Schizosaccharomyces pombe: one gene and its partners. Changing the gene in region 2 together with the main gene of any one other region gives a genetic interaction. Each region holds a gene or a part of one and is shown on either strand. Other genes may lie near its edges.

Region 1 (3,759 bases), on a different chromosome or scaffold from region 2:
AATCCTCAGCATAGATGTTTTTACAAGCTAACTTCAGTTCTTGCAATAATGGAACACGGTCTTCTGTTTCATGAAATTTACTGGCAATCCAAAGACAAACACATGCTACTAACTGAATGTGTTTGCAGTATACCACTCTCCTCGAGACATATGAATCCATGAGGGAAATACTAAGCGGAAGAGTATCAATAGACAAGTCGAATCCATTATGTATTTCTACAATAAAATTAACGAGTGCAGGTCGCATTGACCATCTGAGTTCCGGTTGCTGATTAGAAAGATGGACATTCAGCAAAAAATTTTTCTCTCTAGTAATCAGATGATGGATAATGTCTTCCTGGTACTCACCTAAATACCCGTTCATTGATAAACCAGTGAGTAAAGAGGATTGAGTGTTATAAAGTAAGGCGCTAGATTCCGCTGACAATGTGCTAACAGAGTCGACAACAAATGCAGTCTCATTTTTAAGAGAGGGAGATTTGGAATTAACGCCTTTTGGTGAAACAGCTAAAGAGCAAGGGCCCACTGATAGAGAATATGAACAGGCAGCTAATATTTTAGGTTCTATACTTGAAGATGAAGTGGGAGTATGAGCAGTAAGTTGTTCCTCATTGGAAGAAACTAACATACTGGGTAGACAGGTATTTGAAAATAATGAGAAGGAAAGAGTAGAAAAGCTCTTCACAGTCGATGAAGTTGCAGCTCAAAGTTCAGTGAATTATTAAAAAAATGATACTGAAGAAAAAATAATTGGACATAAACAGGCTCAGATTGCTTGTTAAGAGGTAGTGGTCAAAGCGAATAGTGTTTAACTAACTGAAAGCGATACAACGGCGGAAAATTAAGGGACGATTTAAAAAGGAAGAAAAAAAAAGAGTGAGGTGACGATTAAAAAAAAGGGAAAAATTACTGGGTTTTCAAGGACGCTAAAGAGATATCAATAATGGAAGGGGTAATATAAAGGAATCGAAAGAGTAAATTGCAAAGGACTTGTAAAAAGCCAAGACGAAAGAACCCAATAATATATAGTGAAAAAAGGCTATATAAATATTAAAAGAATGCAAAATGAAGCGGAAGAAATTAGATGCGATAAATATATGTTTCCAAAAAGGTTCGGTGAATAGTTATTTAGTTTGATTAACGGATTTCAGAAGCAGACAATGCATTCATACTAATGAAAATATTACAAAGAAACACAAGGTTAATTCCAAAAAGAAAAAAAAAATAAAAAAAAATAAAAGGAAGAGAAAGATATTTAGTAAAATATGTCCATATGCAGCAAAAATAAGGAAATAAATTTCAATTAAACCAAACGATGTATTGCAAAAGAAAAACAAAATTTGGTTACGCTGTTCAAACTTTCGAATTCATTTACAGTGCAGTCAATTTAATTTACCGCAACCTTGATAGGACAGAAATTATAAAAGAACACCAAAAGCTGGAGAAAAGTAAGTGGTACAGACTCTTTTAAAGAAAACAATTCAGTTCCGTCAGCTACTATTTTATAAAAAATGATAAACGGATACGACTAAGAGATCGAATTTGTGAACGATTCGTACCAAGCAATAAATAAAGTTGTCGCTTGTATACCAAAAGCAATTATGGTGTGGTAAGAAAAGAGAATGTAACAAAAAACAAGGCGGAACTGGTAAAGAGATAAATTATGGAAGGTTATAAACGGTGGGCAATCGATATCTTTATAAGGATAAATCTTATAGTGTAGTGACAATATCGCGAATCGGTATCCTTACATTGTGAATGTACAATGTCCATTCTAACTCGTAATTTCTGCAACGTAACTAGCTACTGTTAGTAACAACAACCGGAATTTTCGGATTTGAATTAATTAAGCCTCAAGTGATCTCCATCTTGGTATGGCCGATTCACAAATTTACCATACCAACGATGTGTACTGAAAGCGTAAAGTACTAACACACAATTAATTCAATGGGTCAAGCACATCATGTAAGTGACGACGTAGCCCAAAACTATTCCATTCATAGCACGCCATCTATCAAAGAACTTGAACAAAGAAACTAGTACAAAATTTTGATTTTCAAAAGCGGTTAATTGATAAGTTACTTGCTGTAAATCATATTGGCCAAATCGTGAAATGTACGTACTGCTAACATTGCGCACGCAAGTAAGAAAAAGTGGGGACAAGAAGCAGAGGTAAATCAATTATTCAAGAATGTAAATATTGACCCGTTCGATCATCTACAGCTTTTTTTTTATGAAAATCACGTTATTAACAAAATGGCTGGTGCAATCCAGCTATAACTACAGCTAGATAGATTAACATTAATAATATCGATTTTCTTCACAATAGCATATACCGCAATCTTTATTTTACATAGCAGAAGGAAATAAGCAGCCCAATTACTGTGTGTAAATGTTTATCACTTAGTATATGGATTAAACAAATTGTAAATAATAGTCAAGACTTAAGTCAGTTAATTTCCGATGAAATAATTAATTTTTGAGGAGAATGTGGGGAATGAACATGAATAACTAGCATGGATAAATAGATTCGCAATCAGTGACATAACGATATTTATGAGCCGTCTAGTTTCACAGATAATTCCACCTGGTGGTGCGGATAAAAGTAGGATAGAAAATAACAGAACCAAAACGTTGAAAAACGCATTGCTTGGCTTAAAGGTCATAACATTATTCTATTCAATGGAAAAAAATGTTTGGTAGTTGAACGAGATTGCTTCTCAACGCAATGTTTTATTTTCACTACGAAATGTTCTCATGCTTCTAATCTATGACTTCTACTTTACATGCTGTTGATTCAGGTGGTGTTTTTGTACCAAAGTGGGGGGTCTAAGTCGTTAGTACTATTGTCCTTCTTCTGGTTAGTACTGACAGTTTGTATTACATTTTAAGTGGGATCGTAGTAACTAAATGGGGGTACATAAAACTGGTACTACTAAACAGATTTATCTAAGTTGTGAACAAATTTCAATAAACAAACGAATGTATAATCTCATCGGCAAGAAAATAATTTTTTACGTCAATCACTTATTTCACTTCTTTATTTTATTTTGAATATATCAAATGTAATCAAGTTTAGAAACGTAGACGGGTTCATGTATGAGCTTTCTTCGTTTCATTTGCATATATATCCTTTGTAAGATTCTGTTACTTTGAATATGTTTTCTTTATAAGTTGTAGATGGTAATTGCTACTCTTTAAATACAAGCTGTCTTCTACAATAATTTTAATTTTACCAGAGTATTTTTAATTATCCTCATGCGAGTAATTTTCTAATTATGTGGTGTAACAAAAATAGCGTTCGGTTAAATTTTAGTTCGCCGTGTTAAGTCTATTAATCAAAAAATTTGGGTTCGTAAAATTGTACGCCTATCTGCCTAGAATCAAGTGAAACCATATTACAGGCATAATGCTCCAATCGATAATGGGAATAAACAACTCAGACTTTGGAAATTCACAGCTACATTGCCATAATCATATTGTGGATGGGTGTGTCACCTTGAAATGTTTTATTGATAAACTAACTAGCAACTAATCTATGCTTTTTATCGGAAAAAATAAAAATAAAATAAACTCCTATAATAAAAGACCTTTTTGTACAAAATCATAATAATACCACCCTATTCCAGACATTTTTTTTACGTAAAATGACATATTAAAACCTCTTCGTTTTTTTTAGTACGAAGAAACTCCTCCATCTTCATACATAATACATATTTACGAGCCAAATTTGTGCTCATAAAAGCTTGCTGGCATTGA
Region 2 (3,759 bases):
GACGCCCACATAACAGAGGAATGTAGTTAGTAGGCTTAGAAGAAGCAGCATCACGAAAACGGATGAAGTAATATAAAGCAAGAAGCAACGTAGTGTAATCGACACGACTTCTGCGAATCGTTTCATACAAAAACTGAGTAAGTGAAAGGGAGTGCGAATGTGATTGTTGATTTGTACTTTTAGCCAAGGGGTAGATAGAAAGAATCACGGTACTAAAGGACTCGAGCAAAGCTCGCATGTTAACTTTCGACATCGTGTAGAGAAATATCTAAGATGAAATTTTAAGCAGCTGTTGGAGAAAAATGAAAACTTTTAGCAAGCTTTTTCTCAAAGAGAAGAAAATACGAGTTTATGAAAGGGAAAAAAGCTAACAATGAAAGCTTTCGACGAAAATTTAGTAGAAAAGTAAAAATGGATGACAAAAATTGGAAGACGAACACAATGAGGAGAACGAGTAGATTGACTAAACAGTGCTCCTAACTGGAAAAAAACAGAAATCTCTAAAGGTATGCCATGTTGAAGACACGTACCCAAAATCAGTTAATATTATTATACAAGAAAAAGAAGCTTAGTAAGCCTAAAAAGTTGCAAAAATGAAGAGATAGATGTGTTGGCGAAAATAGTCATCCAAAGAAAGAGTGTAAGAAATAATAATGATTGCTTGAAATCGAATCTTCAAGCGCACAAAGTCGAATTTGAAGAAAGAAAATAAAGCAAAACCGAGATTTTGGGGACCAGGCAGATAAAAGGAAAACTTGAACTGTGTAAAAACCCAAAATAAGCTAGAAAGGAGAGATTGAAAAAATGAGAGGGAAACTACTTAACCAATCTCCTTAACGACGATAAAAGATGCAATCTCTAGAAGAATTTGTTGGCAGAAGAGAAAAACGAATGAAGCAAGGGATGGGATTCAACGATTGAAATATAAGCTAAGATGAATGCGGAAAATAAGCAAAGAAAACAGACCGACAGATAGATAAATAAATAATAAATAAATGTTTGAAATTACACGAAACCGTATGCGAAACCCAAAGTTAATCGACGAAACCAGCGACGGAGTTAGAAAACGTTAAAGCTACAGGGCGACAGCAGACGAATGAAACAAAGGAAAAGTAGATAAGCCTTTTCCCGAGAATTCAAAGAGGCGTGATATTGCAGTCAGCAGAGTAGTTGGAACAATGAAAAAAAGAATAGAAGAAAGAGAACACAAAGCACCTAAACCCAGACAAGCAAATAGAATAAAATAAAATAAAAAGAAAATGAAAAGTTATAATATATCGTGACAAAGAATTAAAGAAGAAGAAAAGAACCCTTCAGGTAGTAAAGGTCTAAGGTGAGAAAGATCCGTAGCGAATCAAATAGATTAGATTTATAATACAGCAGCACCGAATGGTAGGTTACGAGATTCTTCACAAAATGTTTAAAGGAAGGAAGAAAGAAACCAGCAGACTAATTATGTGTCAAGAGGAAGTAGGATTCGATGAACGATGAAAAAAAAAAGTAAAGAAGATGTTAATGGATGAATGATGATTCCCAAACAAAACAAGAAAAACACAATCCAAAACGAGGAAAATTGAGAATAGCACAAACACCAAACCAATTCTATCTAGGCTGAAGAAAGGAAGACGAATGTAACAAAAAAGAAAGGATGAACGTTATGTTTTGTATGGTTGCTTAGCAGAGGGACGACCGGCTCTTCTTAGGAGAGATGACTGATGTTATATATGCAAAGAATGGAAAAAAAAGGTGATTGTGGCAGATCTATGATTATATGAGATAAACATCAGTCGCGGCTTGTCAACCACATTTGTTACCGAGAGTGGCAGGTAACACTATCTGCAACAACGAGATCCTTTGCACATCAAACGTTAGTCCACCGTGATTTCACACCACTGCGTAAAGCAAACATCCATAATTTCAATGGGGTAAAACGCGTCGGTAAAGTTGGCGTCTTGGACTGCCGATTTTGTGAATGATAAGACGTGGAAGTTAAGTCAAGCCGGGACGTTGAAAGGTTTGGAAAGCTGCATCCAGAAAGGCCTCAACAATGGAAAAATTGGATCAGAGCAAGGTTTAGCAGTTGAAAATTGGGAGGGGGCGGAAGATTGGGATGGATAAATTCTGTAATGTCTAGGTATAGCGAAGGGGAAGGCAATGCGGAAAAGGATTTGAGGAAGGAGGCTCATAGGGATAGATGAATGATGTTTGGGGGGGGATATGAAGGACATGTGGTAGTTGGATCAATTTGCTTCCAATCTATTCTAGAGGTTTTCTTGCTTTGTTCCAAAAATATGAAAGTGGTGTCCATGATTCATGGCTCCGATAGATTCTGATTCCTCATAAGAAATTTTTTTTTCTTTGCGTTTCTTCGCTATGTTACCCAAGTTTTGGGCTGCTTTAAGCGACATTGGATTGGCTCAGCTCAGATGCCAAGCAAGTAATAGTAAGAGAGAGAGACATTCAAGGCGGATTCCACTATCCATCAGAGAAGGTGGGATAATGGGGTGGTATGAAGATGAAATGATTTCTTTAAGCGGAGTGGATGGATATTTTGAAAGAATTGCTAATTGTTTTACTTTGTGATGTGTAAAATTGCAATTTCTGTGATGGCATCGCTAACTCCATCGATATCGCTGATTCCATCAGCACTCGAAATGGCGAGCAAGCTTGCGCAACTTGCGAAGGCAAAGATGTAGGATGAAAGTAGCGATATTATTGATGAATACAGTTGTTGGGCAGGAAATATGATGGGCGATGCGATGAAAAGACGCGAATGGTTAAGAATTTGAAGAGTGAAAAAATAAAAGTAAAATAAAATTAATACATTAAATCAAAAGCAAAAAATAAAATTTATAAAATAAATCAAAAGTAAAAGTATCATTTTATAAATTAGTAATGAAACAAAACTTTGAATATGGAAAATCTCTCCATTAGTTTATTGAATAAACAAATATTTCGAATTTTTATTATTGTACTTTAAAATTTTTAAATTATTTTACCTTATAATTAATTTAATTTTTATAATTTACTTTTTTGCCCTTTAAATTTTTCTGTTTATTATTTATTATCATTCATGAATTTAGTATAATCTTTATTTTATTGCTATTATAATTTCATTAAATATATTTTGATTTCTTTTTTTCTTATTACGATTGAACACTTTTCCTCTTCTTATGGTTTATTTTGTTTTCTTTGAGTTTCCTCAACTACTTTCACCGTTGCTTTCTTTACTTTTTTTTTTCTTTCTTTAATTTATGATTATTAATTTATTATTTATTTTTTACCATTTATGTATCATATCCAAATTTTTTTTTTTTTTTATTTCTAATTTCCTATTATCCTTACTACATCCAAGCCATCCTCACTTCCCCTCGCCTCTCTTCTCCAACCGTAGCATAAACAATCCTTTCTTTCACAAAACTTTTTCACCCCCCTCACCTCTTTCTCTTTGTCCCAGCATTGCTTACCCTATCCTGCCTACCATTAAATCCCACATCCCACATCCCAGCTGTTATTGTACTTCCCAATTCTTTCTGTATTTCTGTACTGCGCTGGTTCAACGAAAACGCAAACATAAAATTTCCTTTCACCCACTCGTCCCTTGTTATCGTTGTTTTTTATTTTATCATTTTTATTTACTCTTATTTTGATTATTTTTTACAAGTTATCAGCGAGCGTGTTTATTTATCCATCCCTCTTGTTATCAGTCCAAGGAAAACTGTTTTACCGACCAGCGCATAAGCACCAAATCTGTTTTTC
Region 3 (3,759 bases), on a different chromosome or scaffold from region 2:
AATCTATTATTTTTAAGGAGATTTTTCGGATTTGTGATTCCTATACGTTCAGTTAGTATTTAAATGATACAGCAGTAGCGATTGTTTATACACTTACTGCATCAGATAACCCCCAGCCAGAATGTCTAATCAAATTTCTGTTTATAAGATAGGTGGGAAGCAATTGGCAACAATCATATAGAGCAGTAACACACACTATACGAATGCTTGCACGTATATCATGAATCCTTGAGAATAGTACACTAGTAAAAAGGTTAGAGTCGTTAAGAAAAGTAGTATTGCCAACCTATCACAAATGTCGTGAATCATGTCAATGAACCTAGATGTTAAGTCTCTCAGTACCAGAATTTCCGCAGTTTGATTTGATTTTTCGGAAAGTTTGTTTACTATAAGGCATAAGCATCGCATGATATCACAGCAAATAGTTGTTGCAGTATGTCTAACAAGCATCCAAGGACTTGTCGTCATGGTAAAAATCCAAGCTTTTGTAGTTTCCATGAATGAGTCTCCGAGGAATGCGTCTTCCACGTAAACTTTACTGATGAATTCGACCAAAAAAAGCTGAAAACGAATACGCACCGTTTTAGCTTCTTTAGAGTTAGAAGTATAAAGATAATCAGTATAAGCGCAAGAAGACTAGCGATATGTATGGTAAGTAAATATTACAAAAAGATGATGCACACACCTTTTGAAAACTTGAACGATTGACCTGAGACAATGTTTCAGGAATTGAATCTACGTCCTGTACATCAAAGTTCGTAACGAAGGGTTGACAACCAGAGGCCTATGAATTAGTTTACGTTTCAAAGGAAGAGTAAACAAAACAGCAAAAGCTAGAAAACGTCGCGGATCATTCCTGCTAAACTTACAACTAATGCGAAATTTATAAAGGTCAGCATGAAGTCAGCGCTATTACTTTTATAGTCTTCAAAATAATGTTGAGAAAGTTGCTCGAGCGGCATATCTATATCCAACAGTTTGACTTTTCGTATGCTTGTTAGAATATATTATCGAAGACTTTTTTTCTCTTATAAGCAAGCAAACTTACGAAAAAATTCTTGTGGAAAGGCATAATCATGAGAATTTACGTGCATCTCTTCATTCGTCTCTATTTCATTATTTTCTTCATTCTCCGTCAAAGAAAATTCATCTTGTGTTCCCCATTTCCGCTTTTTTTCTGAGGGCGAGGCACAAATGCTGACATTCTGTAAACTTGGACCTTCATATTCAACATTTTCAAGCTCCACGCTTTCTAATTCAGTAAGGACTTCATTGAGATGACTGCTTGCATCTGATTCAAATTCGAATCTCATTGAAATCACTCAATTAATTGGTACGATGGTGGTTGGTTATGGCAAAGATTAATCTAACAGAAACGATGGGTTTGTTTACGTGACACGAGTCGCGTCAGTCAGTCATTAATTATTTTGCAGTTCACATACAACCATTGCAATCAAGTATATAATAATTTATTAAAGTTTTACTTTTGAAACATAAAGTAACTAATTTATGAATAAGAACGCGTTTTTACTCGGAATTTCGGGCTTTTCCCTGACCCCTTTTGAGAACCCACCAACTCCTTTTTCTCATTAGTAGTAGCTCGGTATTCCTTTGCAAAGTCCTACTCCAACTTTTGGTTAATACTCTTGTTCGTTGGTTTCATTTGAGATTTTTAGTTCTTGTACTGTTGTAGTACTAATCTTTCTGGTCAATCCAAAAGATTACTTTCCTCGAATCCTTCGTTCAATAGTATCTTCATATATTTGGGTGTAGAGTCATTTTTTCGAATTTTTAGAAGTCGAAAAGCATCTAAATTTTTAAGGATCTTTTCCAAAGAGAAGACTAGGGTTCCTACCTGAGTAAAAGGCAGTTTGAAAACCGACTTTCATCGCATGTCCAAAACTTTCTAAACAAGTGTGTGCTGGTTTACTAATGGACGTTTCGACTCAAACAAGACACGCAACATATTTTCAAGATGAGAATCAGCTACAAAAGGATCACATTTATGTGAAGAAGAAAAGTCACATCAAGTTAAATACGGGTGTTCGTGCACCTTTCAAGGCAGTAGATAACATCAATCAACAAGATGAACCAACATTGATTGAAGGGAATAATGAATCCTCCATCTCTTCGTCCACTGGCGACACTTTTGAAGAGGATTTTGCATACCAGGACAAAGTCGAGATAGAGGAACGGTCAATTCGCTCCACTCCTAAGTCTATTGGAGATGATGATTTGGAAAACCGTGAGGGCAGCTTTGACGCACCTGAAGGAATTCTTACACACGGGAAGCATAGACTACCAACAATTCCCGAGTGGACCAAGGAAGATTTAGCCGCCCTGTCTGAAGCTGCTGCTCGATTACAAGCTAACCCATCGCCTGAGGATATAGAAACTGATCCATCCATGGTACCAGACTATGATCCTGAGATATTTCACTACATGCAATCTTTGGAAAGGAAGCTGGCTCCACCTCCTAATTACATGTCAGTTCAGCAAGAGATTGACTGGGTTACAAGACATATGCTTGTTGATTGGATTGTGCAAGTTCAAATACATTTTCGTTTACTTCCTGAGACATTATTTTTGGCGGTAAACCTTATCGACCGGTTTCTTTCCATAAAAGTCGTATCTTTGCAAAAAGTCCAGTTGGTAGGTTTATCAGCTTTGCTGATTGCCTGTAAGTATGAAGAGATACACCCTCCAAGCATCTACAACTTTGCGCATGTTGTCCAAGGGATCTTCACCGTTGACGAAATCATTAGAGCCGAGCGCTATATGCTGATGCTTTTGGATTTTGACATTAGTTGGCCAGGGCCCATGTCGTTTTTGCGTCGTATAAGTCGAGCTGATTCTTACGATCACGACATTCGCATGCTCGCCAAATATCTTCAAGAAGTAACCTTGATGGATGAAATTTTTATAGGTGCCCATATTAGCTTCATTGCTGCTACTGCCTACTACTTGTCTATGCAGATGTTGGGTCATTTGGATTGGACTCCTTGCCATGTATATTATAGTGGGTACACGGCTCGTCAATTGAAACCGTGTGCCATAATCATTATGGAATGTTTGGTCGATGCCCCTAACCATCACAATGCCATTTACCGAAAGTACTCGGAGAATAGAATGAAGCGAGTTAGCGCCTTTGCTCACAACTGGGTACTAAGTGTGATTTGAGTTTGCTTTCAGAAGTTGTTAACAATGATATTCTGAGTTAGTTTGCTATTATTAAGCCTACGATATTTATTATTACGGATCATTGTCTTAATATTTCCTACAGCAATCACTCGAGGGCATTTTATATCTTACCTAAGGTAGTAGTTTTTCTCCACTCCGTTTGCTAAGTTTGTCGTTTAAACCACCCCTATTATCCCCCAGAGACTTGGAACTACTGTCTATTTTATAACTATCTTTCCGAATTCCCTCTTCCATCTTGTTTTCTATATCTTTTACTATACTTAAATAACGTTACGGGTATCTCTATTGTAATTATTTTTTGATACCCCTTAAACCATTTTTATTTTTTTGGATTAATACCTTTTTAATTTAATTTTGTCCTACCTTTACACAATCGTCTCATCCGACCTTTGGGCATGATCGACGGGTTAATTGGACTAATTGTTGCTACTGATCTTTATGTAGTTAGGCTTAAACTTTATAAATAACATAACTATTTTTACCTTTTCTCTTCATATTTGTTTCACGTCCTGCATTGGTTTCACAAATATTATTGGGAGATCATTGACAGTCCATCAC

Evidence for each region.
Region 1: mutations in pas1 (region 2) and puc1 are lethal when combined (synthetic lethality), as found in Schizosaccharomyces pombe (one study listed by BioGRID).
Region 3: mutations in pas1 (region 2) and cig1 are lethal when combined (synthetic lethality), as found in Schizosaccharomyces pombe (one study listed by BioGRID).

What each region holds. Positions count from the first base shown.
Region 1 is NC_003423.3:3,700,025-3,703,783, forward strand, and holds the start of puc1 (G1 cyclin Puc1), read right to left. Parts: upstream 1,666-3,759; 5' UTR 629-1,665; coding exon 1-628. Other genes in the region: U3 snoRNP protein Utp4, read right to left, coding at 3,718-3,759.
Region 2 is NC_003424.3:1,359,065-1,362,823, reverse strand, and holds the start of pas1 (cyclin Pas1), read right to left. Parts: upstream 1,692-3,759; 5' UTR 254-1,691; coding exon 1-253.
Region 3 is NC_003421.2:1,225,613-1,229,371, forward strand, and holds cig1 (G1/S-specific B-type cyclin Cig1), read left to right. Parts: upstream 1-1,613; 5' UTR 1,614-1,932; coding exon 1,933-3,180; 3' UTR 3,181-3,691; downstream 3,692-3,759. Other genes in the region: meiotic cohesin complex STAG protein Rec11, read right to left, coding at 1-40, 98-242, 287-636, 686-784, 870-982, 1,049-1,313. UniProt on the Schizosaccharomyces pombe protein: Required for efficient passage of the G1/S transition.